Linked DNA regions of Sus scrofa. The protein of the gene in region 1 purifies or fractionates together with the protein of each later gene. This does not show direct contact. Links are inferred from orthologs where the notes say so. Each region holds a gene or a part of one and is shown in the gene's direction. Other genes may lie near its edges. The genes, in order: BCL7A, SMARCC2, SMARCD2, SMARCD1, ARID1B, PBRM1 and DPF1.

What was found.
Region 2: the proteins of BCL7A (region 1) and SMARCC2 purify together in Homo sapiens (affinity purification with mass spectrometry; 4 studies listed by BioGRID and IntAct, counting the BioPlex papers as one, with this or other methods). This does not show direct contact. The link is inferred for Sus scrofa from reciprocal best matches to the Homo sapiens genes BCL7A and SMARCC2.
Region 3: the proteins of BCL7A (region 1) and SMARCD2 purify together in Homo sapiens (affinity purification with mass spectrometry; 5 studies listed by BioGRID and IntAct, counting the BioPlex papers as one, with this or other methods). This does not show direct contact. The link is inferred for Sus scrofa from reciprocal best matches to the Homo sapiens genes BCL7A and SMARCD2.
Region 4: the proteins of BCL7A (region 1) and SMARCD1 purify together in Homo sapiens (affinity purification with mass spectrometry; 5 studies listed by BioGRID and IntAct, counting the BioPlex papers as one, with this or other methods). This does not show direct contact. The link is inferred for Sus scrofa from reciprocal best matches to the Homo sapiens genes BCL7A and SMARCD1.
Region 5: the proteins of BCL7A (region 1) and ARID1B purify together in Homo sapiens (affinity purification with mass spectrometry; 4 studies listed by BioGRID and IntAct, counting the BioPlex papers as one, with this or other methods). This does not show direct contact. The link is inferred for Sus scrofa from reciprocal best matches to the Homo sapiens genes BCL7A and ARID1B.
Region 6: the proteins of BCL7A (region 1) and PBRM1 purify together in Homo sapiens (affinity purification with mass spectrometry; 3 studies listed by BioGRID and IntAct, counting the BioPlex papers as one, with this or other methods). This does not show direct contact. The link is inferred for Sus scrofa from reciprocal best matches to the Homo sapiens genes BCL7A and PBRM1.
Region 7: the proteins of BCL7A (region 1) and DPF1 purify together in Homo sapiens (affinity purification with mass spectrometry; 3 studies listed by BioGRID and IntAct, counting the BioPlex papers as one, with this or other methods). This does not show direct contact. The link is inferred for Sus scrofa from reciprocal best matches to the Homo sapiens genes BCL7A and DPF1.

What each region holds. Positions count from the first base shown.
Region 1 is NC_010456.5:30,695,480-30,700,165, reverse strand, and holds the start of BCL7A (B-cell CLL/lymphoma 7 protein family member A), read left to right. Parts: upstream 1-1,788; 5' UTR 1,789-2,470; coding exon 2,471-2,769; intron 2,770-4,686.
Region 2 is NC_010447.5:21,563,144-21,566,878, reverse strand, and holds the end of SMARCC2 (SWI/SNF complex subunit SMARCC2), read left to right. Parts: intron 1-363; coding exon 364-745; intron 746-1,086; coding exon 1,087-1,509; intron 1,510-2,066; coding exon 2,067-2,143; 3' UTR 2,144-2,917; downstream 2,918-3,735. UniProt on the Homo sapiens protein: Involved in transcriptional activation and repression of select genes by chromatin remodeling (alteration of DNA-nucleosome topology).
Region 3 is NC_010454.4:15,094,738-15,098,820, forward strand, and holds part of SMARCD2 (SWI/SNF-related matrix-associated actin-dependent regulator of chromatin subfamily D member 2), read left to right. Parts: intron 1-2,052; coding exon 2,053-2,237; intron 2,238-2,429; coding exon 2,430-2,472; intron 2,473-2,631; coding exon 2,632-2,754; intron 2,755-3,853; coding exon 3,854-4,009; intron 4,010-4,083. UniProt on the Homo sapiens protein: Involved in transcriptional activation and repression of select genes by chromatin remodeling (alteration of DNA-nucleosome topology).
Region 4 is NC_010447.5:15,995,443-15,999,525, forward strand, and holds part of SMARCD1 (SWI/SNF-related matrix-associated actin-dependent regulator of chromatin subfamily D member 1), read left to right. Parts: intron 1-577; coding exon 578-694; intron 695-1,987; coding exon 1,988-2,089; intron 2,090-2,380; coding exon 2,381-2,542; intron 2,543-2,622; coding exon 2,623-2,720; intron 2,721-4,083. UniProt on the Homo sapiens protein: Involved in transcriptional activation and repression of select genes by chromatin remodeling (alteration of DNA-nucleosome topology).
Region 5 is NC_010443.5:9,794,159-9,797,868, reverse strand, and holds part of ARID1B (AT-rich interactive domain-containing protein 1B), read left to right. Parts: intron 1-273; coding exon 274-404; intron 405-3,098; coding exon 3,099-3,710. UniProt on the Homo sapiens protein: Involved in transcriptional activation and repression of select genes by chromatin remodeling (alteration of DNA-nucleosome topology).
Region 6 is NC_010455.5:34,695,360-34,699,442, reverse strand, and holds part of PBRM1 (protein polybromo-1), read left to right. Parts: intron 1-929; coding exon 930-1,085; intron 1,086-4,083. UniProt on the Homo sapiens protein: Involved in transcriptional activation and repression of select genes by chromatin remodeling (alteration of DNA-nucleosome topology). Required for the stability of the SWI/SNF chromatin remodeling complex SWI/SNF-B (PBAF).
Region 7 is NC_010448.4:47,144,445-47,148,114, reverse strand, and holds part of DPF1 (zinc finger protein neuro-d4), read left to right. Parts: intron 1-620; coding exon 621-748; intron 749-1,034; coding exon 1,035-1,124; intron 1,125-1,499; coding exon 1,500-1,578; intron 1,579-1,780; coding exon 1,781-1,912; intron 1,913-2,780; coding exon 2,781-2,831; intron 2,832-2,924; coding exon 2,925-3,044; intron 3,045-3,670. UniProt on the Homo sapiens protein: May have an important role in developing neurons by participating in regulation of cell survival, possibly as a neurospecific transcription factor. Belongs to the neuron-specific chromatin remodeling complex (nBAF complex).

The sequences.
Region 1 (4,686 bases):
AGTCCATTTTACCTACCAGGGTCATTCGTACGGTAGTAGCACCTGGGCAGAGCCTGGGGCTCAGACAGAAACCTCATTTATAGTGAGGGCAGCTTATCACTGGGGGAAAAGGTCTAAGAGCCCCTGTGAATATGCTGATAAATATCATCAAGCTTTTCCTGTGCCGAAAGCTATTTAATAAGCAAGGTTGAATGTCTTTCGTGGTCACTCCAGGCACCTTTCCTCCCATTCTAGTTTTCCAACAGGACGAGGATAAGAGACGCGAAGTCCTAGCTTGAGCATCTCTACTGGGCAGAGGTCCGCATCTCTCAACTCTTTCCAAGAGCACCTCACTTCCCGAATCGGAGCCTTCAACTCTGAGAAGTCGGGAGCCCCTTAGGAAACTTGCATTATTGCAGCCACTGCCACACACCGGGGCAGCGGACACGCCGCCGCGCTGGCTCCCCAGGAATGCGCCCCCTCCACGGCCGCTCTCCCGGGGGACCCCCGGCACCTGCGGCCTCCGAGTAAGTGTCCGCGCGCACGTCCGTCCCACTGCCCCAGCGTGACCGGAGCCGGGGGTCGCCATGTGCCCTTCGCCGCCTCCCCCGGGAGCAGGGGGTCGCGGGCGCCTCCCCCGGGTGGGCGGAAAGGCTCGTACCGCTGCCCCGCGGCAGCAGCGCCCGGAGGCCGCACTGCCGGCTGCCGCGGCGGCGCTGCTCCCCCTGCTCCGTGCAGCTGCCGCCCGGCGCTTGCGCAGTGGGCCCTGGGCGCGCGGCGGCACCAGGCTTTGTGTGTGTGTGTGTATGTGTGCGAGTGTGTGTGTGAGTGTCTGTGTGTGTGAGTGAGTGAGCGGGCGGGCGGGCGCGAGTGTGGCCGCCGCGGAGCGCGAGCAGGACCCGGCGGGCGCGCTCCCCCAGCCTCTCTCTCCCCGCCAGAACCATGTCGGGCAGGTCGGTTCGAGCCGAGACCAGGAGCCGGGCCAAAGATGATATCAAGAGGGTCATGGCGGCTATCGAGAAAGTGCGCAAATGGTAAGCGGAGGCGCCTGCTCCCTCGCTCGCTCGTTCGCTCGCCGGCTCGGCGCTGCGGCCGCCCCAAACCCCGAGACCAGATACAAAAAGCCAGCGGGGCGCAGCGCCCCGGTCCGCCCGCGGGCCCGGGAGTTGAAGAGGGCGGGCGGCGCGCGAGCCGGGTCACCTGCGCGCGGCGGGGGCCGCGGCCGCAGCCCAGGTGCGCTCGCGCCTGTCGCCCACCTGGCGCGGCGGCGGCGGCGGCGGCATCCTGGAGGCGGCGGGCGCCCGGGACCGGGCGGTGGGGCGGCGGGCAGTCCCCGCCGCGGCGCTCAGCTCCCGGGAGGGGGGCTCAGGGCCGGCCCCAGAAGCCATTTCGTTTTGTGCAAGTCACATGAAAGCGGCTTCCCGCGCGCCGGGGCCGCGATGCCGGCGGCGGAGGGGAGAGCGCGAGCTCCATTGTGCAGGCACCGAGCGGGCCGCCGCCGTCTCCGTCTCCTCCCCGCGCGCCCCGGGCGTCGCAGCGCCGGCCCCCGCGCCCTTGCCCGCGCCGGGCCTCCCTCTCTCCCTCCCTCCCTCGCTGGCTGGCTGGCTGGCTCGCTCGCTCCCCGCCTCCCAGGCCCGGCGCCCTCGAGTCTGCGGAGTTTGCAGAGCGCGAGCCGTTTAAATTTAGCGCTTTGGGCTGCCTGGAGCGAAGGCTCTGGGCGAGGAGGAAAGATGGGGGCGAGCGCGAGGAGGAAACGCCGGCGGCGGCCGCGGGCCCTGGTGCTCCGGCGCCCCCCTCCCGTCCCGCTCTGCCCGGACCCGGGCTCGGGGGCTCGGGCGAGAGAATGTTCGGGGCCAGGCCCGGGTCCTGGGCAGCGTCTGCCTGTCCAATACGGGCAGCTCGTGTTTGTTTTGCGGAGAGAGCCGTCGTTTTTGTTCTCCGCGCGGGGGGCACGGGGGATTCGGTGTTGGCGGTGCGGGTTCTCCAGCTCACATTAGATTCCGTTCGGCGTGGCCTTGTTGTAATTAACACGACTGCACGTTTCCCCGGCCTCGTCCGGGTCTCTCTCGGAATCGGCCCAAGGGCCAGGCCCCAGGCGCCAGCCGATCGCCAGGTTGGGGCAGACTTGTTGAAAACTCCCGGCTCCCGGAATTCAACTTTATTATTTTTTTCCCACGGCCTCACCCGGGTCAGGGAGGGAAAGGAGCCGCCGCGACGTTCGAGTGTCAGCGCCCGCGGGCCTGTCCTGACCCCTTATTTAAAGCCTGAAAACCCGGCAGGCCCCATGGCAAGCTATGTTTATGTTGAGGGGTGTCATTTCTCGAGTAACGCCTTGGTCTCTCAAAACCACTGGGGACGAGCCTCCAGTCTAGCCGTGTCACAAGTTAGCTGTCCTTTCTGAGTCAAACCCAACAAAAAAGGCAAGAGGAAAATCAATAAAGTCCACGTGCTCCTGGGCCTCCTATGGAAAGGGCTGTCTGCAGATGGCCGGATGCCCGGCCGAGGGCTGGGTTTGGCTCCAGTGGGACAAAGAATTTTCAGAACCGTGAGAAGGAGAGGCCTTCCAAAGTTGAGATCCAAGTCTTCCCCGCTGTGGGAGCTCCCCTGGTGTGCAGGGAGCCCAGTGCCCGGACTAGAGCCATTTAAAAATGGCAGAAACAGCTGCAGGCCAAGACACACACAGGAAAACAAGCTCACAACCCCCTCTCTGGGAATCCCGGAGTTGTCCCCTGCCTTAGATCTCTGCAAAGAAAGAACTGTTGTCTGGGTCCTTCTGTCACCAACCTGGAGGTGAGAAAGGGGTGGGGGCAAGCAGCCTTTCTGTGCTTGGGGAGGCATGGTGGGGCCTTCTGCTCCAGGTTCCCAGCCTGGCAGAGGCTCCAGCACCCTGGCAGCTGCTCAGCAGGGGTGGGGCAGATGGAGCTGTGGGGTTTTCCACCCTGTGGGCTCCATAGCAGCCGGCCTGGTGGCCCTCAGTACTGCTGAGCAGCTGGGGGCAGGCCTGTGTTTGGGGGGAGGGGCAGAGAACCAGTCTCTTTCCCTTTGTGTGTTTTGGGAAATTATGTGTCAAGTCCTCTGAAGACCCCAGGCTTTGGAATCTCATGGCTAGGCTTGCAGTTCACTTCCTTGCTGTGACCTTGGATTACTAACCATTTAACTTCTCTAACGGTGGTAGCAAGGGGTTTCTGTGCTGTCTTCTCCCCTCCTGGAATAGTACCATGTCTCCAAAAGCACTTAACCTGCACATAGGAGCAGTCATTAAATGCTGTCCTAAGGTAGAAACTTACATTGTGCTGATTTTTCTTCTCCCCCCCAACTCCCGCCCATTCTAAGCAAAAAAAACCAAAAACACTTTACCTTATTTCCTGGGTTTCCCCAGCCCTGAGAAGCCAAATCTCACCCTCACTATGCCTTTAGAATGCATCTTCCAGTCAGCCCTTGTGGTTTTCAGTTGTTTATTAACTGTGTGGCCACCAACCGTGCATTTCACCACTGGCTGGGACACTGGGTTGCCAGATTTAGCGAATAAAATTACAGGACACCCCCCCCCAGTTAAATTTGAATTTTAGATAAACAAGGAAATAATATTTTTATATACTTTTTTTAGTGTAAGTATGTCCCCATGTACAGTTTGGGACATACTTACACTTAAAAAAAAAAGTCATTTATCTGAAATTGAAATTTAACTCTGCATTCTGTTTTGTTTTTAAATTCAGAACGGAGTGCCTAGCATACCACTCTGTCTGTGAGCCTGGGGTGGTATTTCTCCTCAGCCCCAATGACCCCTAAAACTTGCCCCCTTCTGCCAACCCTACCTTCCCCCGCCCTGGAAAAAGCCAGCAGCCAGCCGTGGCCACGTGCATAGCTACCTGCCATTGCTCTGCTGCTTTCTGTCTGGTAGGTATCCCAGCAGGGCGCACTGGTGGAGTTTGAGGCAGCCAGAACATGGCTGAAGGAAGACCAAAATGGTGGGCTCTTTGTGGGGAAACTGGGTCAGGGTTAGGAGGCCCGGTGTAAGTGGAGAAGAGCAGGCGAGAGGGGCAGTCATTGGGCGGAGGGTCCCTCAGTGACTTGTGGGGTCAGAGAGAGGCCTGTTCCCCAAGACTCCCCACCCGTCCCTGGGGAAGGAGGTGGTTTGTGCCTAGACCCTTCCCTCATCACCTCCAGGGACACCCACCCTCCCACCCCAGCCCAGCATAGGGCAAGTCCAGTGGGCCTGGGTCTAGTTAGGATGAGACCAGCCATTGCCAAACCTCCTGTGGCATCGAGGACTAGCTCTGGGAAGTGGAGATGAAATGAGGCGTTCAGAGCCCTCTTTGAGGGAGGCAGGTGACCGCAAGATGGTCTCCCTGGCTGCCTGGCCCGTGGGGGAATGTAAGAAATTGGCTTCAAGAGTTCCCGTTGTGGTGCAGTGGTTAACGAATCCGACTAGAAATCATGAGGTTGCGGGTGCGATCCCTGGCCTTGCTCAGTGGGTTAAGGATCTGGCGTTGCCGTGAGCTGTGGTGTAGGTTGCAGACGTGGCTTGGATCCCGCGTTGCTATGGCTCTGGTGTAGGCTGGCGGCTACAGCTCCGATGAGACCCCTAGCCTGGGAACCTGCATATGCCACGGGAGCAGCCCTAGAAAAGGCAAAAATACAAAAAAAAAAAAGAAAGAAAGAAAGAAAAGAAAAGAAAAAAGAAATTGGCTTCAGCCTAGCGATCTG
Region 2 (3,735 bases), on another chromosome or scaffold:
CCTAAGGATGATGAGCCTTCCTCCAGTTTTGAAGGAAGGAAAGAACATGAATTGACAAGAGGAACTAGTAGAAGCATTTTCCAAATTAAAGTAATGACAGATTCAAAGCTTTGGAGCTGAAAAGAACAAGAGTTACCACCAAACTAACCCCACTGCAGTGAGGTGGGCAGCCAGGGACCTGGCGGGGAGATTTGAGGGGGTAGGCTGGGGGAGGACAGAGGAAGCCAAACACAAGACTGAGATTTGGTGTGGGCACCTGTCGGAATGGGCATGCAGGTTTGTCCGAAGACAAAGCAGGGGGCAAGGGGTTTGCCTTTGGGATCGTGTAAACCTGCGTAACAATACTCATGTGGCCCCCGGCAGCTCGAGTATCAGAGGCAGCAGCTCCTGGCCGACAGACAAGCCTTCCACATGGAGCAGCTAAAGTATGCAGAGATGCGGGCCCGGCAGCAGCACTTCCAGCAAATGCACCAACAGCAGCAGCAGCCACCACCGGCCCTGCCCCCAGGCTCCCAGCCTATCCCACCTACAGGCGCTGCAGGGCCACCGACTGTCCATGGCTTGGCTATGGCTCCGGCTTCTGTGGCCCCTGCTCCTGCCGGCAGCGGGGCCCCTCCCGGAAGCTTGGGCCCCTCTGAACAGATTGGGCCGGCAGGGTCAGCTGTGGGGCCACAGCAGCAACAACCAGCTGGAGCCCCCCAGCCTGGGGCAGTCCCACCAGGGGTACCCCCCCCTGGACCCCATGGTAAGTGATGGGTTGTAGGAACTCACTCCAACTTGGAGTGGTCTGGCTGAGTGTTCAGTTCCGTTCGAAGGGGTTGTGATAGGACTGGAGTCAAGGATCAGCCTCAGTTTCTACAGATCCATCTCACTTCTGTCCCTGAGTCAGCAGGGATCCTTCCCCAAACCAGATCCTTGGAATTTTATCCCAAGGATTTACTACTTATTCTAGTTTAAAAAACAAACAAACAAAAAAAAACAGGGAGGTGGTTCCTAGGAGTGGCTTGGTTATGCATGCTGGGGAAGTGAGTTTCCAAGTAAGATTATATGCCTCTAATATTCCCTATCTCTCCTCTTCATTCCCAGGCCCCTCACCGTTTCCCAACCAACAAACTCCTCCCTCAATGATGCCAGGGGCAGTGCCAGGCAGCGGGCACCCAGGCGTGGCGGGTAATGCTCCTTTGGGTTTGCCTTTTGGCATGCCGCCTCCCCCCCCTGCTCCATCCATCATCCCGTTTGGTAGCCTAGCCGACTCCATCAGTATTAACCTCCCCCCTCCTCCTAACCTGCATGGGCATCACCACCATCTCCCGTTCGCCCCGGCCACTCTCCCCCCACCTAACCTGCCTGTGTCCATGGCGAACCCTCTACATCCTAACCTGCCGGCGACCACCACCATGCCATCTTCCTTGCCTCTCGGGCCGGGGCTCGGATCCGCCGCAGCCCAGAGCCCTGCCATTGTGGCAGCTGTTCAGGGCAACCTCCTGCCCAGTGCCAGCCCACTGCCAGGTGAGAAGGGTCCTGGAGGGGAGAGGGGAAGGGGGAGGGGCCCACCCGAGGGCTGGAGGGCAGGTGGGGCGGGGCTCAGGTACTGGAGCTGCTGTGATCCTTTTTGAACGCTCTGGTCAAATTAGAATCAGGAGGGAAGGGCCTCTCTGGCTGTCCTCCACTATTCCCCAGCCTGGCAGCTGCCACTTCTGGGATGACGTTGGGGCCTGTCACTGGTGGGTCACGGAGGAGTCCTGTGGCACAGAGCATCTCAGCTGTGAACTGGAAAAACAGCTACTTTTTTGCATGATGACTGCCATCGCCTTTGCTTGTTCCCATCACGTTCAAGTGCCCCGTCTAGAGAGTTCCCTTGGGGGCAGGAGGGTGATTTGGGGTCTACCAGTTTCCCCAGCGCGTGGTGGGAGGAGGGGGTCTTGGGGGAAGGAAATTGGACGTTGTGGGCACTCTTTCCATCTCCTGTCCATTGCATGCCATGCCCGATTGTTTTCCTGGTGGCCTGGGTCTGGAGCCCCCCTCTCCTGCTCACCCCAGCTGACACAGCTTCCTTCTCTCCACAGACCCAGGCACTCCCCTGCCTCCAGATCCCACGGCCCCGAGCCCAGGCACAGTCACCCCTGTGCCACCCCCACAGTGAGGAGCCAGCCAGACATCTCTCCCCCTCACCCCCCAAGGAGATCAAGGTTCCAGAAGCAGCCCTCTCCCCACCACTGGGACCCTTCCCCAGCCTGGAGAGTTCATCACTACGTAAGGAAAGCTCCTCTGCCCCTCCAGAGCCCCCACTGTGCCTGTCAGAGGCATGCGTTTTTATATTGGATTATTCAAGGACTTCTGCTGCAAAGATGTTTCTAATGTCTGGGAGAGAAGATAGAATGGGGATGCTGCCCTCAAAGAAAGGGCTGGGGAGGTGTTTATATAAGGTTCTAATTAACCACTTCTAAGGGTGTACCCCCTCAAAACTACTGCATTTTTTTATGGATGAAAAAAAGCCCTTCAAAAGGAAGTAGAGATAAAGAAAAGTCACATTGGAGCTCCCTCCACCCACTGTAAAAAAAATCCAACTTTTACATTTTTTGGAGGAGAGAGGTGACAGTTTTAGGAAAGGGGAACTGAGGTTCTGGGGAGAACTCTGGGATAGAATAGGGTGCAGAATCCGTCTCCTCCAGCCCCAAGTTAGTGACCGAGTCAGCTCCCGATCCCCTTTGGCCACCCCATCCCCAGTTTATTCCCACTAACCTCTCCTGCCGCTTCCTCAGTGTTGCTGTTTTAGGCCACCCCAGCTCAGCCAATGACCCCTTTCCCTCTGAATGTCAGTTTTGTGTTTTTAAAAGTCACCTGCGTAGTTGACGTCAGCGTATGTGTATTTGGTGGGGAAACATTCTGGGGATTCCTGTGGTAGGAAGTAGAGGAAGAAAGGGCATTTGGGGGCTATTCTGCCCCCTTCCCGGGGGCTCCCAGGGGCCACGGAGATGGGGGCTAGAAGGGGACGGGAAGGTTTTAAGACGTGAAATTGTCAAAAAGCACTTAAGCACCTCCTTCTTATGACTTGCTAGGTCACCCCTCCCTCCTCCTCCCTCTCCCACCTAGACCATCGGAACCCTGGCTGGGAGCCAGGGATTCCCTTGGCCTTTGGGGCAGCAGTGGGGGAGGGGCACCCAGCCTAGGGTTGTGCCGACCTCTGGCTCATAGCTGGCAGCCCGGCTCTGCTCCCCCGGATTCCAGTGCCCCCCGGTACCAGCTCTCCCCTCTTCGTCCTTGATGCAAAGGCAAATGTGATTCCAGGCCCCACCAGTTCTTCCCAGTCCCTCCCACCAAGCCCTGTGATCCTCATGTCCCCATGTTTCTCTTCCTCCGCGTCTTGGCACTTTCCTTCTGTTCAAAAGTTTTCTGTAAATTTTCTTTTTTCTTTTTCTTTTCTTTTCCTTTTTTTTTTTTTTTTTTTTTTTTATAAATTAATTTGCTTTCAGTTCCATCTTGTGGATGCCTTCTGTGTTCTCTTACCTGTGGCTGTTCGGCAGGGGGATCAGGCTGGGGCCAGCCTTCCTGAAGCCCATCCCAGTGGCCATTGCTAGGCTGGAGAAGCACTGGGCAAGCACAGCCCCGCAGACCCTGGGCCTCCCTCTACGCCAGGCCAAAGGCAGCCCAGCTGTCAGAACTGTGCAGCTGCTGCAGGGCTGGGCAGAGGCTCGCACCTGCCCTAAATATAGCTGTTTAGGACTTTGGAAGGAC
Region 3 (4,083 bases), on another chromosome or scaffold:
GCTGGGCCGCTTCTGGGCTGCTTACTTCGGAAGCTCAGGGCGCTGAGCTCAGGGCTGTGTTCTTTTTCTCTTTCTCTCTCTCTCTCTCTTTTTTTTAACTCTTGCGTCGTTTTTTAGAAGAGGAGTTACTGGTGCTTCTGAGCCCAGGTATGGAGCTTGGCAAGGCCGAGCTGGGACTTCGTGAACTGTAAGCAGCTTTTCCCTGGGCCCCTTCCCCCTCGGGAGAAGCCTGGGGCCCGGCGCGAGCTGGGGGCTCTGCACCTGGGATCTGGAGCAGCATCTGGGAGAGGCCTCTTTCAGGCCCTGCCTGTGCCACCCGGTTTGAGGACTTCCTGTTCCAGGAGCACCCGCCTGGGGTGGTTGTCGCTGAGGAGGTTGTGCGGATGCCCTGGCAAGGAGGCCTTAGCCTTCTCCCTGCAGGTCTGCCGCTTTGGTTGTTCTTCCCCTTCAGCTCAGGCGCTGGGGGGAAATTCACGTCTAGGGTGCTTGGGGCTGGGCTTACAGCTGTGGCTCCCTGAGTTTTTTTCTGTCATCTCTAGCTGTGGCTCATTAAGGCAGAGAAACAGGCTGTCTTTTGCCTCTCGTGAGCTCAGGTGAATCTCTTCCTGATGAAGGGAACCTTGTGGCGGGACTCCAGGTCCCAGAGCCCCCCACGTGTAACTCCCTCCTCCTAGCACTCCTTCCCCCTTCCCCGTATCTTTCAATCATGTTTCTCTCAATCTCTGCATCTGCTCAAGAATCTGACCCTCCTTGGTGAGAACATGGGCCGAGTGCTAAATGAAGAGAAGTGGGAATCTCGTCTCCGTGATGTTGGGGTCGGGGTGAGGGTCTTTTGATTTGGTGCGAGTCCCACCCAGCCTGGCTTGGTTGGCTGGTTGTGCTGGTTGCATAATCTGGGCCCTGGGGCCAGCCCTGCGAAGCTGCCAGGGACAGTGTGTGCGCGAGGCAGAGCTGCCAAACAGGCCTTGCAGGAGCAGCCATGACGAAGGGGGCGGGAGTTACTCCCACATGGGCTCCACGGAGGTGTTGGGGAGCTGGCCCTCGGTGGGGAGTCCTTCTGCAGGCCTCTAAAGAAGCCACCTCTCACCCAGTTTCCTCTGGTGACCCTGAGGCTTTGATGCCTGCATCCCGGGATAATCTCATCTCCATTCTCCAGCTTGGGATTGCCAGGGCTACGCTGAGCCCGAGCCAGCCCCAGTTGCCAGGTGGTGCGTGGACCACGGGCAGAGTGCAGGTGCCAGCTGCTCTGTCTCCCACAGGCTGCTCAGGAGCCACAGCGTCCCCTTTGGGATGTTCTGGCGTAGGGGTTGGGGGCCGGGAAGCAGGGAGGTAAGAGAAGGGTCCAGTTTTGAGATGTGAGTAGGGGCCATATGGCGACCAGATGGTCTCCGTACTCTGCCTGAGGCCACTCCCCCACTTGGGACACGTTCCAGGCCATCCTGTTGCAGTTTGCTCACCTGGGGTGCCATGGCCTGGTGGGCCTGCCAGCCAGTTGGACTGCCTTTCTCCCCTCAATCACATGACCAGACTGGGTGCTGGGGCTGCGCCCCATCAGCCTGCTCTTATCACATTACTCCCACCACCTGGCAGGGACACTGCCCCCAGGCTTCTCCCTTATGCTGGGAGAAGGAGAAGGATGGGAGTGTTTGGTGGGACCATCAGAGTTGTAGGAGTGCCTTGAAGCTGGCTGGTTCCAGGGAGCAGGGCAGTGTGTGCCAGGACTGCAAGGTGGTTAGAAGGTGGTGATGGGCCCTGAAAAGGTCCCCAGGCCCTTCTTCTCTCTGCAGGCAGGATTCTCCTCCCACCTGCTGGGCTCTGCAGGCCTCATTCGCTGGCACCGCTGCCAGGGCGGTTGAAAGGGGTGGGGCAGGTGTGGTTTACACTTCTGCTCTCGGGCGTCTGCTCCCCTTTGTTCCTGGCACTCCTGCCCGGGCTCTGCCGTGAGCTGCTCAGGGCTGGGCCTGGCTGGGCAGAGGGATGGAGGGAATGGGTTATGGGCCCCGAAGGGCCCCGCTGCTGACCTATGCACCCCCACTGGCTCACTTCCTCCAGCGGCCTGGCATGTCACCTGGGAGCCGGATGCCCATGGCTGGCTTGCAGGTGGGACCCCCTGCTGGTTCCCCATTTGGTACAGCTGCTCCACTTCGACCTGGCATGCCACCCACCATGATGGATCCATTCCGAAAACGCCTGCTTGTGCCCCAGGCCCAGCCCCCGATGCCTGCCCAGCGCCGGGGGTAAGACCATCCTGTTTCTCCCACCCCACCTAGAATCGGCCTGGTGGTAACAGGGTTTCCTTCAGTCCTAAGAGCTGGGATGACTGAGGAAGACGCCCGGTTCTCTTGGGAGAAGGTCCTGGGGGCTGGAGAGGTAGATGGGGGGGAGGTCCTCTGGACCACTGACCTCTTAAGTGGGTTTCTGTCCTCCAGGTTAAAGAGGAGGAAGATGGCAGATAAAGTTCTACCTCAGCGAGTGAGTTTGTTGGAAGGGGGCCTAGGAGGCCCGTCCAAGGGCTGGTTGGCTGGGGCTGGAGTCAGTCTCCCCCAGCCCTGGGGTGGGGGAGGAAAGGAGGAAGGAGCCGGAGCCGCACCTGAGACAAGCCGATGAATCCCTTCTCCCTCCTTCCTCCAGATTCGGGAGCTTGTCCCAGAGTCTCAGGCGTACATGGATCTCTTGGCTTTTGAGCGGAAGCTGGACCAGACCATTGCTCGAAAGCGGATGGAGATCCAGGAGGCCATCAAAAAGCCTCTGACGGTGTGTGCAGCCCTGGACCACTCCTGGGCCTTGCCCAGCTTCTCTGCCCCTCCTCTCCCGACGTGTTTGCCAGGGGCCAAGTGAGGGTCTGCCGCAGGCTGGTGCAGGGTTTTTCATTCTGCAGGGTCCAGCTCACGGAGCACGAACTCAACATCACGTGGGGGCCAGCATGTTTTTAATGAAAAGCCAAAGAGTAGGAATTACAGTAATTCCTCACAGAGTAGAGGAATTATTTTATGATGTTTTGGTTTCTGACATTTATACACGTGTGTGCATATCCTGGATCAGGCATTAAAACGTACATACTGTAGATGATGGTCAGAAGCTTCAAAGGCAGGACTTCCTGGTGGTGCAGTGGGTTGAGGATCCAGCAGTGTCACTGCTGTGGCTTGGGTCACTCCTGTGGTGAGGGTTTGATCCCAGGCCCAGGAACTTTTGTACACCCCAGGGGCAGCTGGAAAAAAAAAAAAAAGATCTCAAAGGCAGAACTACAGGGTAGATAAAGATGGTTCTTACCTTCTTCCCAGAGCAGCTTTTTTTTCTTTTTTCTTTTTTTTTTTTTTTTTAATAAATAATCTGTAACAGTCCCTTCAATGTAGAAGGCTTTCCAGGAGATGATATTCTGGGGCCGCGAAGGGTGTTTGAGTTTCGTTAAAAATATGAGCCAGAGTGAGTTCCTGGTCTGGTGCCATGGGTTAAGGATCCGATGTTGCCACAGCTGTAGCCTAGGTTGCACCTATGGCTCAGATTCAACCCCTGGCTTGAGAGCTTCCACAGGCAGTGGGTGCAGGCCAAAAAAAAAAAAAAAAAAAGGAGCCAGCCAGAGGCTTCTGATTTGCCTGAACCTCTGTCACTCTACTGAACCACCTGTGTTGGAATTGTTGGCTTTTTGGCAGTGCATCTGTCTATCTTACAAAACTGAGTTCCTTGAAGGCCAGGCCTGGGACTCCCTACTCCCAATTCTCACTGCCTAACAGGGGCCTGGCCCAGCGTCACTGCTCTGCACTGATGTTGAACGAGTCCAGAGGGAAGACTGGGTGGCAGTGTTTTCCCACATGCTGGGCCCCCTCTAGCTAACCGGTTGTCTTTCTCTCTTTAGCAAAAACGAAAGCTGCGGATCTATATTTCCAATACGTTCAGTCCCAGCAAGGCAGAAGGTGACAGTGCAGGAAGCGCAGGGACTCCTGGGGGGACCCCAGCAGGGGACAAGGTGGCTTCCTGGGAACTCCGAGTAGAGGGAAAACTGCTGGATGATGTGAGTTGGGGGGAGAGGTGCTGGAGGGGAGGTGGCCTGTGTGGGTTTCATTCTTGGGCTGACACTTGGGCGCT
Region 4 (4,083 bases), on another chromosome or scaffold:
ACAGGTGATAGCCCCCAGACTTCACACCCCAGAAGCTCCTTGGGGAAGCTCACCTGCCATTCCCTTATATTCTCTTGCTCTCTATTTTTAGCTGTTCACAGGCAAGCCAGTATGAATGCATTTTTCAGGAGAACCAGGGCTCGTGTCAGAGCCTCCTTCTTTTCTATATAGGTCCGGTCCATCTGCCAGTGTTATCATGTCATCCAAATAAAGCAGTTTTTGTTCTGGCTGCTTATTACCTGTGATTCATTTCCCCTCTAGAGTCAGACCTTTCCCTGTTCAGACTCGCTTTATTGTGTGCAGAGGTTTGGCCTAACTTACCTCCTTTCCTTTGGGGAAATGAGGTGGGTAAGTCAGTGACCCTATGTGTGTTATAGGCTGCTGCTTTGGGGTTCTCTTGCTACCGTGACTTGTTTAATATCCACAGACACCTACCTTGCCACCTCCTAAGAGATATTCAGAAGACATTTTTGGGTCTCTTCCTGTTGCTGTTTGGGTTCCTTTTTTTATGGTACTTTGTTTTAAGGAATTTTTTCTGGTCTCTTGTAATGTGACCTCTTCTCTCTCTCTCCTCTAGTCAGCCTTGTCCAAATATGATGCCACCAAGCAAAAGAGGAAGTTCTCTTCTTTTTTTAAGTCCTTGGTGATCGAACTGGACAAAGACCTGTATGGGCCAGACAACCATCTGGTAGAAGTGAGTAGTTCTCTCCTCTAGGCTTTGACTTATGACTGGAGGATGATGGACTTGGGAGCCAAACGTTAATGTCTAAGGAGAGGGGGAGGTATGAGAAAAGGGCACGCCAGGTGTACGGTACCTCTGTCGCAGTTTGCACATTGGCCTCCAGGTGGCACTAGCTGTTTAGTTCTGGTGCCATTTGGACCCAAGAGCTCTTGTAGTCTGACTTGTCCCACCTTTTTAATTTGACTATCCTAGTTGCTGCCCCACTTTCAAGGGAAATTCTGATGGAGGCCTCTTGTACATGCCAGATCATCTCTTCATCTTGTTTATTAATAATGGTGAGATGTAGTTATCCACACACCATTCTGCTTTTTTCCTGGTAACAAGTACTGTGTTAAAGGGGGTTAACTAATAGGGTTCTAGTCCTTGCCAAGGCTACTTGCACGAATCTGGGACTCACTTTTGGTCCCTGCTTTGTTTAGATTCACATTCCAAATCATCAGAAAGCTTTTATTATAATGCCTGATTACGTAGCATACCTGAGACGTGTCAGCAGCTGTGTTCTTTGGGATACAGTGGAAACCAGAATGACGGTCCGGTGCTCCAAGTGAACTTAACCTGCTCCTTTCTTTGCCAGTGTAGCCGCAGCCCCTTAACCTCAGCCACTAAGAGACTTGGGAAGGTCTTTACCATCTTATAAGGGAAGTAAGTCACAGAATCGATAGACATGTGTAACTGTATTTAACTTAACTTCATAGCAGTAGAACATAGTGGCTAAGAATGTGGACTGTAGAATCCAACACGGCCGAGCTCAGAGAGCAGCTCCACCACTCGTTGGCTGTTGACCTTAGGCATCTTACTTTAGCCTTCAGCGTGTTTGTTTCCTCTCTGTCAGATAGGTTTAATCGAGCCTGTCTCATATGGATATTGTAGGGATTAAATGTGATGATCCGAGTAAAAGTCTTAGAAAACCCTCGCATGTAGTAAGCACTCAGTAGACGAGAGCTACGTTATTTTACAGTACGCATGTTATATTATCCATTTTGTGGATAAAATTATCACTGAAAATTCAGGCTGATTTAAATGTGGTCTCGAGCAGTCAGAATTAAAAGGTCAGTCTACTTATTGACAAGAATCCCAAAGCCACATGCAGTTTTTTTTTTTTTTTTTTTTTTAATGCCTCATGCTATTGTTCTTCTCCAGTAGCCTCAGTAATCAAAGTTGAATATTCAGTCATTACAGAAGCTCTTCCCTCCCACCCCAGCTCTTCCTCTGGGAGAGCGCCCCCTGACATCTTCCTCTCTGTAGTGGCACAGGACCGCCACTACCCAGGAGACGGATGGCTTCCAGGTGAAGCGGCCAGGAGACGTGAATGTACGGTGTACTGTGCTACTGATGCTGGATTACCAGGTATTCTGTGCTCATGGGAGGGGGTCCAGCTTTCACAGCCACAGCCCATCAGCCATCTGACATTTAAAGCTTTAAGTCTAGTTGTGGATACTTTGCCACCAGACCCTCCGCTCTCTAAACATGGGGATAGGGTCTTAGTCATTCCTGGGCTCCCCTTAGTGTTTGTCTGCCCCCGAGACAGCCCAGCATTAATGCTGGTTGAATGGCTTGAAGATGGCCACGCCGAGCACCCTGTAATGTGCACAGAGCCAGCCTATTAGCTTTGAATCTATCCTCTTTGGTTCTCTACAGCCTCCCCAGTTCAAATTAGACCCTCGACTGGCTCGGCTGCTGGGCATCCACACCCAGACCCGTCCAGTGATCATCCAAGCACTGTGGCAATATATTAAGACACATAAGCTCCAGGACCCACACGAACGGGAGTTTGTCATCTGTGACAAGTACCTCCAACAGGTGAGAAAAGGACCCATTCTTTTGCTCGAGGCCACTGGAGCCCTAGCTGTGCTCTTAGCTGCTTTTCCTCTTTCCCACAGATCTTTGAATCTCAGCGTATGAAGTTTTCAGAGATCCCCCAACGGCTCCACGCCTTGCTTATGCCACCAGAGCCGATCATCATTAATCACGTCATCAGGTAAGCGTGTGGATGGGGGCAGTGGTGTCCTGGAGCTGGCTCATAGCTGCACAGGTCAGTTCGCAAATTTTCAGGAATTTTGCAAACAGGTTGTTTATCACAGTCCCTGTTTGTGATTAGATACATTACATTAAAAATAAGGATAATACAGGAATTCCCCGGTGGCTCAGCAGGTTAAGGATGTAGCATTGTCACTGCTGCGGCTCTGGTCACTGCTGTGGTGCGGGTTCAGTCCCTGGCCTGGGAACTTCCCCGTGCCGCAGCAGTAGCCAGAAGAAAAAAGAAAAAAACAACAACAGGGGTAGCATGTACTCAAATATTCATCATTTCTGAATTACTGGTTTCTCATGTTTGTGTTTTTGAGATTACTTACGTCTTTTGAGTCTGCGTGGTGGCATACCACATAATGACATGTTATTGCACATGCCTTCCCAGCTCCATGATCAGTGATGAAATGCTGGCATATTAAAAAAAAAAAAAAAAATGCTGGCATGTTGAAATCAGTCGTGTTGAGAATATTTAAAACACAGCCGTCAGCAAATGCTACAAGTCAAGGCTTTTTTTGTTGATCTTCTGCTGTGGAGAATCAGCTATTAGACATTCACCAGCTCGTCAATGATGAGCTACCATCTTCTCAGGGTGGTAGGACATTGCATTTCTGAGACTCCAAATCCGTCATCTCCATCTGCTTTTCTGTTCAGAGATAGAGGCGCAAGGCATCTCTAGGCAGATACGGAGTGGAAGAAGGCATTTTGTTCTCAGACTGGATGTAGTCTCTGCCTTTTTTCCCTTGTTTCATATTCAGTCCACTGAAGCCCTTCCTCTCATAAGACCCTCACTCAGCTAATAGCAATTCCTACAGTCTATACATTGGGTCAATAGAAGCTAGTTTGTCCTGTATTCCTCTGCTTAGAGTTAGGCCACTTTTTACTTTATTTTACATGATGTGTGTTTTATTTCAATTTATTTTCAGGATCAATTTTATTGTAATAGGGAGAATAGTATAGAAGAAACTATAGCAGTCATTTCCTTGTGAGGAGGGAGAAACTGTTTTTTTCCTCACTTTTTAGGGCCGCACCCATGGCTTATGGAAGTTCCCAGGCTAGGGGTCGAATCAGAGCTACGGCTGCTGGCCTACGCTGCAGCCATAGCAACGCCAGATCTGAACCACACCTGTGACCTACACCACAGCTCACGGCACACCAGATCCTTAACCCACTGAGCAAGGCCAGGGATCGAACCTGTAGCCTTGCGGTTCCTAGTTGGATTTGTCTTCTGCTGTGCCACAATGGGAACTCCGAGAAACTACTTTTTGCTGGATGTCTTTTGTACCATTTGAATTTTTACCACTGAGGGTTTTGTT
Region 5 (3,710 bases), on another chromosome or scaffold:
GCAAAAGACAAATACAGAAAGGACCGTTTGTGTTTAGCCACCCCTCCCATTTAACCTGCAAAGCAAAAAGCTCTTCGGCTGCAGAAGTTTCTCAGGGCAGCCCGTCTCCCCATCTCAATCCCGAAATGACCACGTTCAGCTGTCCCGAAGAGCATTTGTTTAAAAGTCCATATTTCACGTCACCCCCGCCTTCTTTTTCTGATTCTCTGGTTCTTTTCTCTCCTCTGTGCTTAGAGGCAGTATTAACCCCGCCGTCGTTTTTTCCAACTGCAGTTACTCCTGAGGCCTGGCGTGTGATGATGTCCCTTAAGTCAGGTCTCCTGGCCGAGAGTACTTGGGCTTTGGACACTATTAACATTCTTCTGTATGATGACAGCACGGTCGCTACGTTCAATCTCTCCCAGGTAAGCCGGCGCCGGTCCAGCCGAGGACCAGCACAGAGTGAGAAACTGAAGGAGCGCGTGGTGCCCGAGCCAACGAGCGCTCACCAGCTCGAGTTTGTCATCACCGTGGTTGTTACAAACCACGTCAATCGGTATAGTTTTCTGAGAACTTTCTCTAGAACCGTCATTTCTCTTAATCCTTAATGTAAACACACGCACACTTCTATTTCTCATAAGAAAACAGTGACCTTGTGTACACACACGTGTATGTGTATGGAGTAGACAAAAGTGGTAAAATGAAATGGTTGTTGAGAATGAATATCAGCAGGCCAATGGCAGTTAATCCAAATGTAACAAAGTGATGGCTCTAGTCAGCGGGGATGTACAGTAGGCTGCAGTGAGACACCACCCTATTTTCCAGGGGAACCAGACCTCTTTCTCTTAATTGAAAAGAAATGTAAAATTTAAAAGCAATTTTTATATTACAGAAAACATAGTATATATAGAAGGAGAGAAAACGGTTTAATGAAGCCCTTGTACCCGTCACTCAGCCGCAGCAGTGATGAAGTCATGGGCCAGACTTGTGCCTTGGTCTGTTCCCTCCCATTTCTGCCTCCTTCCAGGTTATTTTGAAGCAATCATTTGAAAGCTCCTACTTTTGGAGTTCCCATCGTGGCTCAGTGGTTAACGAATTTGACTAGGAACCATGAGGTTGCGGGTTCGGTCCCTGGCCCTGCTCAGTGGGTTAAGGATCCAGCATTGCCATGAGCTGTGGTGTAGGTTGCAGATGCGGCTCGGATCCCACGTTGCTGAGGCTCTGGTGTAGGCCGGCAGCTACAGCTCCGATTCAACCCCTAGCCTGGGAACCTCCATATGCCGCAGCAGCGGCCCAAGAAACAGCAAAAAGACAAATAAATAAATAAATAATAAAATAAAAACTCCTACTTTTAATGAGCTTAAAACCTTCCTTTGTTCTGTGCGAGGCTTAAAGTAGCTTCCAGCATAATAGCCAGAGGAGAGAAAGGGAGCTGAGAATTAGGAAAAAGGCCCGGGAGTCAGCTGGACTACAGACTTCTTAAGAAATATTTAGAAACAAAAATAAGGCAGGGTTATTCTTCCTCTGCTGTGGAAACAACTCTCTGCATTTGCTGAAAAAAAGCCAGAACATCGGCCACCCTTCTGTTGAGCTGGAGCCCACACCTTCCACTCCTCTTCCTTCTCTCGTTGGAGTCTGCATTGTTGCCCTGAAGGGCAGTTTTTCAGTTGATGGCAAGTGTGTTAATAAGGTCCCAAACATCTCATGAAGTCCATTGTAATAGAAAGTAAGTCTTAAAAGACGGTCTGCTGCCTTCGCCAGCACAGTACACGTTGGTCTTTGTGCTGGGTGACCTCCTCTCGAGGGCGCGTGTTCATGACCAGAGTCGCTTTAGCAGCCCTCCCTCTTCCCTCGCCCTGGGGACGAGCTAGGCTTTAAGGGGGACAGAAGAGGTGGACATCGGACCTCGACCTCCACTTGAAAAACTGTGCCTTCATACCTAAAAGCAAGTGCTCTCTGCTTGGGCCTGGGTTTTCCCTTACTTCTTTTTTTTGTTTTTTTGTTTTGTCTTTTTAGGGCTGCACCTGCAGCATATGGAGGTTCCCAGGCTAGGGGTCTAATCAGAGCTGTAGCTGCCAGCCTACGCCAGAGCCACAGCAACATGGGGTCCGAGCCGTGTCCATGACCTATACACCACAGCTCACGGCAACGCCGGATCCCTAACCCACTGAGCGAGGCCAGGAATGGAACCCGCGACCTCATGGTTCTTAGTCGGATTCATTAACCACTGAGCCGCGACTGGAACTCCTCCCTTACTTCTTAATAATCGTTTCAAACCCACCTTCAGGAAACCAACAGCAGAATATGAAAGTGTGGTTGATTTCTGTGCCACCTATCATTAAGGAATCCTTTTTCACTTACTTAGCCTTTATCGTCCCTAAATGCAGTGCCGTGGGGGTGGGGAGCAGGCAGCTGCTGGGCACGGAGTGTGTTGGTCTTCTTGATGTACATATACATTTGCTCAAAGGAAGCAAAGGTGGTGCTCACAGTGGCTTTCGTCTTTCAGCGCAAGTTGTGACTCACAAACTTCAAAGTGCCTTCTATGAAACAGTCCAATTCCTTTATCAGAGGCTAAATTGATTTGTTTTTAATTTTGTGTATTTATGAGCTACCGCACTGCTGAAATTATCTTTTCCCCAAAATATATGGAGAATGTAAATTAGAATAACTTACGGCATCTAGGACGAAAATAACCATAAAAGCCTAAGAGTAAGAACCATAAACATCCAGGCAAGCAAAGTTTCAGATAAATAAGAGAACAGACTCACTTTGGCTGAAATTCTCTCCTAGTTATGGTGGAATTGTATCTAAATGAGAAACAAAGGGGAAGAACAGCAAAGCACTCCCGCACTGATCATTTCAGAAGTATGAAAATAACGAGTAAGTTGTCATGTGGAAAGTGAACAGGAAATAAGACAGTAACTCTTGGTTTGGTTAATAATGAAAAATTCAGAAAGGTAGTTCTGACTGATTCCTGGTTTCTCCTTCTTGGCCCAGCCAAAAAGGAATAAAACCGTGGAAATAACCGTAGAAACGCATGTCTAGCTCTCAGGATGCTCGCCCTCTCAGTCACACCCGAGGTTATGACACTGTGCCTTTCTCCTTCTCGCCCTCTCCAGTTGTCCGGATTTCTCGAGCTTTTAGTAGAGTACTTTAGGAAATGCCTGATTGACATTTTTGGGATCCTTATGGAGTACGAAGTGGGAGACCCCAGCCAAAAAGCACTTGATCACAACGCGGTAAAGAGAGATGACAGCCAGTCCTTGGCCGATGAGTCTGGGAAAGAGGAAGAAGATGCTGAATGTATGGATGAGGAGGAGGACGAGGAGGAGGACGAGGAGGAGGGCGGTGGGAAGCCGGAGCCGGAGGACAGGAGCGGCACGGCTTTGGCCTCCCCCGACGCCACCGCAGACCCAAAGGAGAAGCCCAGGCAAGCCAGCAAGTTCGACAAGCTGCCGATAAAGATAGTCAAAAAGAACAACCTGTTTGTGGTCGACCGGTCTGACAAGCTGGGTCGTGTCCAGGAGTTCAGCAGCGGGCTTCTGCACTGGCAGCTCGGAGGCGGGGACACCACCGAGCACATCCAGACTCACTTTGAGAGCAAGATGGAAATTCCTCCTCGCAGGCGTCCGCCTCCCCCGTTAAGCTCCACAGGCAGGAAGAAAGACCAGGAAGGCAAAGCGGATTCTGAAGAGCAGCAGGAGAAAAGCATCATCGCGACCATTGATGAC
Region 6 (4,083 bases), on another chromosome or scaffold:
CCAGCAGAAAATATTTTGTGTTGTGAAGATGCACTTTGAAAATAAAGGAAGAAAAACCTCTGTTCACAGAAATTCCATACCTCATTTAAAATGTTCCCTGTTAACCTAAGGTTTTTGTGAGGACATTTGTGAACTTGGAGCAATGATGACAATTGGCATTTTCTCGTATCAGCAGAGCCTGATTCTCCAGCCATTCCTCCTGAGGTCTGCATGCAGGCTACTGAGTGACCTGGGCTTAGATAGGCTTGGGAGGGTTTAGGTTTTATCAAGTTTTGAAATCTATAGATGAAACATCATTTATTATGATAGCTCTCAGCTGTTCCCAGCTCAAGCCTAAGCATGATCCATTCTTACCAGCAGTGGTGGAGCTAGAAGGGAGAAGCACTGGGTATAGAAGTCTTGAAAAATTCTTGCCCACCTCCTCCATGCTGGAGAACCATGCTTTGTGTTCAGGGCTTGTGCGCCTCATTTCCCTCCATTCCAGTTTCCCCTCATGTGTACCCGGGATAGGCATATGAGTGTGGCAGAGTGGAATGATGGGTTGTCTACTGTTCAGTGGAATCACAGTCGGCAGAACTGGTCACTCTTTTTGAACAGTCTGCAATAATCATGACCTTGTGAAGGCTGTTACTAGAACTCCTCTTTCTTATTATTTAACTGAAAACATGTAGCATATTTATCCCAGGGAAAATAACTACAAATAATCATATACTAAGTACTAATTCATCCAAAAATGTTGTATTTCATATTTGTAACTTTTTATTTTGTTCATTATTGCAACAAAATAATTGCACTAATTGCCGTTTTATCATGCAGTACTAAGGGCGCTTTTATTCATTATTAGTGCATGTTGGGGTAGGGGTGTTGTTATTACTTAGCTCATGTTGCATGTTAATGATGCATGTCTGAAATTTGTTGTGTCCTTCAAGGCATGATGGGTGGCTATCCGCCAGGCCTTCCACCTTTGCAGGGCCCAGTTGATGGCCTTGTTAGCATGGGCAGCATGCAGCCACTTCACCCTGGGGGGCCTCCACCCCACCATCTTCCGCCAGGTGTGCCTGGCCTCTCGGGCATCCCACCACCGGGTAAGAACTTCATCCTCATTCGCTCATTAATCTCATCTTCATACTCTCTTTTTCCTCCCTCAACCAGTTGTTCCAGGAGGTACTTGCTATCCATGTGGGCAGGCCTTCCCTCACTGAGAATCCCAGAAGTGTCAGCAGCAGAGCCTGTCCTGTGTGTTGAGCAGGTGGCTCAGCACTTGTGTTCTAGGGCACCTGGCTGTCTAGCAGCAGCATGGGGCACATGGCAGGAACCAGACTCAGCAGGTCAAGGGGCAGGAGGTGTACTCTAAAATCATTCAGAACAATTTCTCATGTGCTCAGAAAGCCAAACACAGCCTAGAAGGTTATGCTTTGCTCTCTTTATCAGTGAATGAAGATTACCAAATTGTTAGTTCCGAGTGACATATAAAAAACACTTTTTGCTCCTAAGTGCATTTCTTCCTCCGATTCAGTTCTTATCTCACAGAGTCCTCTGTGTAGATTCCCTGCCCCATCTCCTGCTTTTCAAACAGCCCTTCTAAGTCACTAATGTAAAACTCTTTAGAAATCCTTCAGTCAAGGAATAAAAAGGAGGAGAGAACAAATTTGTACTGAACTAGTTTTCTGTACCCGAGTCCCCAAAGAAGCATGACATAACATTTTAAAGAACAGCATAGCCCCCTCTACTAACTATAGACACTGGTTTGTCTATTGACAGAAACTCAGAAGTTATTTCATATAGAAGCATATAAATGAAGTCCAGAAATAGCTACAGTTTTACCTTATAATTAAATAGTAAGTTGAAAGATTATTATGAAAGGAAGATCACAAGTTCTCATATTAAGTGCCATCATATGCGAAAGAACTGACCCTTAGCTATAATCTAGTTGGAGGGAATGTGACCTTAAAATGACTTATAATAGAATTTGGTCCATCATCCAAAATATTAGCTAAAGGCCAAACGCAGGGAGTTCCCTGGTGGCCTACCAGGTTGAGGATCCGGTGTTATCACTTCTGTGGTACAGGTTCAGTCCCTGGAATTTCCACATGCTGCGATGCCGCCAAAGAAAGAAGGGAAATAAAAAAAGGCCCGGCCCAGATGACAAAACATCATGGCAGTATTAGACCTACCAATCCAGAGCTATAAAGAGTTTCAAGCAATCCTTCAGAAGGTGTACCCAGCAGTGTGTAGGGTGAGCAAACCTGGTGGCTTGGCTTAGAGCCTGCAGCAACACACAGACAATGGCCATGACTCCACAGAAGTGTTTGCTCTAGACATAACCCAGAGGAGAAAAGGTTTGTCGGAGTGGTATTTCATTATGGAAATGGTGGACTATGTGTGAGTTGCTCTTGCAGCAAATGTCAGTCATAAAATTGATGGTCCCTGTGATAGGCACAATTGGCCTTTGTGCTATGCCCTCTCCCCTTGGCACCGAGTATCTGACTGAACAATCAGACTAGCCTGGAGTTGACTTCCAGGTGCATGTGGTACTCAATGGGAGCCACAGCCAAGGCCAGGACCCTCCAGGTAGCATGTTCTGGTAGGTATTGAGGGACAGCTCTCTCCATTCCCCCCCCCTTCAGATTCTAAATGCATTTGAAGGAGGCACCACTCTCCTGATGATAGGAAGTCAGGGAAGAACCCCTCTTAGTGCCTACACACGCTTACACCTCTGATCAGGCTTCAAGGAGAGAAAGATGCAGTGAGCTCCCCGGTGACTTAGCCTGCATTCTCACCAGTTGCCCCTGGCATGGCATTTGTAAACAGAGGAAGCATAGGGGATTAGTTGTTGATTTGTTTGTGCTGCCCTGCAAAGATTGTTACCGGCAGCTCAGGGATGCCCACTGAGTTGCGAGATTTAAAGTAGGTGAGTGTCTTTGGGAGGCAGGGGTTAATAATATGTTGCTGGCGCAGCAACTTACCCACTGCAGCCTCTTCACTCACTCAGAAATAAGTGTTAGGATCCTACCATTGTGATCCAGGTACCCTTCTGGATCCTTGGAATATAAAAATTTCTGCTTTGTAAACAGAAAGCTTGTTTTCACTTACTCTTTTCTAATACTTCTTGGAAGTGATAGTTAGCAATTCTGAACCTTAGAATAGTGGGCTGGCTCTGCTTCGTCAAAATATCAACCTTTTGACTCCAGAGAAACTGTAGAATATGAAGTTAGCTCCTGTTGATCCTTCTGTGCAGCAAGCTGGACTTGTTTAAGGTTAAAACAACAGCTCTCCAGGGTTTTAGTTGTAGTTTATTAGTTTTTAATGAGCTGGGTTCCTTGCCTCTTTCTCTCTTTTATGAGAATAAAATAGCCCTAGACATTAAATTTAGGACATTGCATTATCATCAGCTAGGACCTGTGAGGCAGAACTCATTTTGAGACAGAAATTGTTTATGAGGAGTCACCAAGGGAATTGTATTTTATACATAGTACGAATATAGTAGAACCATGAAATCTTTCTTTTTCGCTTTGTCATTTTGCATTTGAAGTGATAGCACCAAGTCTGCTCTGCTTCCAGATGATCCCTTTTCAAAGTGTCACTCTATCAGATGTCAGTGTCCCCTCTCTGCCAGCATTAGTGACTCCAGTTAGAAACCAGAGGTACTAGTGACCTGTAAGGGGACAGCAAGAATATATCCCCAGCTTCCACAAAGGTCATGTAACCATGCACTTCCTCAACCTTTCCCTTGTGTCCCTACTGTCCTAATACACTGCATACAGCTGAGCCTGGTTGCACTGCATTACCACTGAAATTAAACATGGGCTTCAGTTTCAGGAAACTGTGCTGTCAAAAGAAAATTACCTTGAAAATAGAGGTGTATTCTGACTATAGGGAAATAACTAGAATTTTATGCAGAGTTCATATCATTTCTAAGCCATGAATAATTAATGTATATCTGACAGGTTGTACTAGTTTTGTATTTAAAGTACCTAGAAGATGAAAAAAATATGAATTTTCTATATGAATGCTACATATAGAAAATTCCTTATAGAAATTGCCTGTTTTGAGTGCTTAGGGTTCCTATCCACAGAGACTCAG
Region 7 (3,670 bases), on another chromosome or scaffold:
GGGACTGTCTCTATGTCCTATGTGTGTGTATCCACCCTGGTGACTCTCTCTAGGTGTGTCTCTGTTTCCCCTAAGAATGTTCAGGTGTTTGCTAGGGTCTGGCTGTGTCTTCCTCTTGTGGGTCTGGGCATATCTGATGGTCTAATGGTCCCTTTCTGAGTGTCTCTGGGTGGACCCAAGGGTCTGGATATTTTCCTCCATGGGTCCAGGTGTATCTGAGCATCAGGGTGTGTCTCTTCCCTTGTGGGGCTGGCTGTCGCAGATGATCCATGTGGAGCTCCCTTGCGTGTGTCCCCGTGGGTCCTGTTTGGGTGTCTGTTCTCTCCAGGTGTAGGGGTCTGGGTGGAGTCTCCTATACGTATGTAGGTATATCAGAGGGTCTGGCCACATCTCCTGCTGAGTGTGCCCAAGCGGCTCTGAGGGTCTGGCTGTGTCTTCCCCAGGGTCCAGTCCCCTTTCCAGTGCATGTGGTTGAGTCTCTGAGTCTATTGCCAGTGGAGTGTGGGAAGCCTCTTCCCACCAGCAAAGAGCATGACTCCCCAGCCTGGGCAGTGTGAGGAGTCCTCTGGGGACAACCTCTCCACTTGACCCCACCCCCACCCCCATGGCCTCATCCCCAGACTGTGAGGCGCCCTTGAAGAAGGAGGGTGGTCTCCCGGAAGGACCAGTCCTTGAGGCTCTACTGTGTGCTGAGACGGGGGAGAAGAAGATAGAGCTGAAGGAGGAGGAGACCATTATGGACTGTCAGGTAGCCCCCCCAACTCCCACCCCGGCGGCGCCCCCACCCCGGTGGCCGCAGCTGCCTTCTCACCCCTGCCTCCTGCCCCGGCCCATCCCATTCCTGCTCTGAGATCTCCACTGGCTCCCTAGGTCCTTCAGGCATCCTAAGTCTCCATCCTTCCACACCTCATCTCTTTTTGGGAGACCTTCTGACTTGCCCTGCCACCCCCAATCTCCTCTATGCAGAACCATCCCCCCAAAGCAGAACAGTGTCCCGTTTTCTTAACCCCAATCTCCCTTCTCCTGATGCCCAGAAACAGCAGCTGCTGGAGTTTCCACACGATCTCGAAGTGGAAGACTTGGAGGATGACATTCCCAGGAGGAAGAACAGGGCCAAAGGAAAGGTATCACCCCAAAGTTTCTGCTCCTCACCCCTCCCCTCAACGCGGATCCCATTTATTGAGGCTGCACAATGTTCAGACCCTGCCCCAGTCTGATCTCATTTAATCCCCAGAGCAGCCTCAAGGGGTAGGGGATTTTTATACCCATTTTGCAGATGAGGAAATTGAGGCGTGGATCTATGAAACCATTTGCAAAATATAGACTGCCCAGTGGGTTAGAACTATCCTCATACCTGTACGACTGATCGAGGTCAAGGGAGTTACTCAAGGCCCACAGTTAGGTAGCGGCAGAGCTGTGATTTGCATTTCCGGCCCAAATGAGGAAAATTCTTTTAGTTTGCTCCTTTTCTTGGCCCCTCACTCCAGACTCTTCCCCAGGCATATGGCATCGGAGGTCTCCGGAAACGCCAGGACACCGCTTCCCTGGAGGACCGAGACAAGCCGTATGTCTGTGATAGTGAGTCCTTCTGAAGAGGGGGGAAGAGAGAGAGTGGGGCCCAGAGACCTGGCCCCTCCCAGCCCCCTCCCTCCTGTTCTGGACCCTGGTGGGGGGGGATGCACAGGCCTCTGGCAGAGGGAGGAGATGTGATCCCGGAGGCCAGGGTGGAGGCGGCATGGGCTGGGAGGGGGCTGACCGGCCCTCCCTGCTCACTCTTCAGTCTGTGGGAAACGGTATAAGAACCGGCCAGGGCTCAGCTACCACTACACCCACACCCACCTGGCTGAGGAGGAGGGGGAGGAGAACGCCGAACGCCACGCCCTGCCCTTCCACCGGAAAAACAACCATAAACGTGAGCAGGCGGGCAGGGCGTGGGGTGGTGAGGGGCCCTGCGAGTGGGGGCTAGCAGCCCGGGAGGGAGGGGGCACGTTAGACATTTCTGGAAAAGCCCCAGCTCAGCGGTCCCCTCCCCCCACCGACCATGGGGATGCTGGCTCTGGGGTTGCCATGACAACCAACCATCTCTCCCTCGCTCCCGGCCGGGCGTAATATTTCTGGGTCTGATTTATTGTTTCAATTAGAGCTTGGGGAGGGGGGTGATAGATGACTCCCCTCCGTCCCTGCCTCCCTTTCTCCGTTCTCTGCTAAGCCTGGGCCAAGGGGCAGGGTCTGTGGCCCGGGAACTCTTGGTGGCTGCCCATGCCAGTCCGGTGCCAACCCTGACAGCTGAGGGATGGGGGAAGGCTTGGAGCAGGGAGGCTGTGCCAGTGGAGAAACCATCTTCCCACCCATCCCTTGGCGGGAGAGGGCACTCTCTTCATCTCATCCCCACTACACACCCAGCCACCTCTGTGTGCAGAATTTTCCTCCTGAAATGCCTGTTTCCATATGAGATCTTGGCCAGTGGGATCTGCCTAATTTTTATTTTGGGGCTTTGTTGGGGGTGGCTGTCTGGTAGAAGTGTGTGTGCGTGGGGAAGTGGGGGGCTCTTCCTAAAGCTGTATCTGCCAGGCTTTTACCTAATAAAGAGGATGCAGCAGTTGTGCTCAAAGAGTTGGGGGGTCCTGATGAGAATTATTTGTTCACAGCTTGGGGTAGCCACTCCCTCTCCCCTCCCCCTCCATGCCTGGACAAGGGCTCCGCCCCTGGGGCTGAGGCTGGGGGCAGGGTGGAGCCTTGCCTATGGTGAGAGCCCCTCTCTCTGTCCCCCCCACCCCCAGAGTTTTACAAAGAATTGGCCTGGGTCCCCGAGGCACAGAGGAAACACACAGGTAGGGACGCTTCCCCCCGCCCCGACTTTTGCAGCAGCCTTTGACCGAATGCCCCTGCCTTGCCCACGCCAAGCCCTGCCCGCTGTCTTTCAGCCAAGAAGGCACCTGACGGCACTGTCATCCCCAACGGCTACTGTGACTTCTGCCTGGGTGGCTCCAAGAAGACGGGGTGTCCCGAGGACCTCATCTCCTGTGCCGACTGTGGGCGATCAGGTGATGCCCCCACCTGAGGCTTCTGGGGGCCAGGGTCCAGATCTGGAGGCTAGGAGGTGGAGGAGTGAGGACTGGGGGGGATGCAGAGCATCTGGGGGACCCCGAGGATCACTGCTGAGCATGACGGGAAACAGTGGGTTCGGGGAGGCTCTGGGAATAAGGGGCTGTGGTGGTTCTGGCGTTGCGAGTACTGCTACCTGCTTACCATGGCGTGGGGAGCAGTAAAAGAGGGTGGCCAGAACCTCGTGGGGAGCGGGCTGCGATAGCAAGTCATGGATTACCACTGCCTGGGTGTTGTGGATGACTGAGAGCGCTTGCCACCGAGGTGTGGTTAATAGAAAGCGGTTTCCCGAGGTGGACCTGTGGGCAGTAGCCTGCGGTTGCCTCAGCACGGTGGCCAATGAATCGTGGTTGTTATGGTATTACGGGCAGTGAAATACAGTTGTGACAATTGGGTGTAGTGGAAGGTAGTTGTCGTGGCCCCGGGTAGCGGCTGGGTGTCTGCACGGGGGTGGGGGGATGGCCAGGGGGTTGGCCCACTGCATAGTCACGTGGGTAACGGTGTGGTGGTTGGGGCATCATGTGTAATGGGCTTGGGTCGCAGGGAACCAGAGCGTGGAGACCCC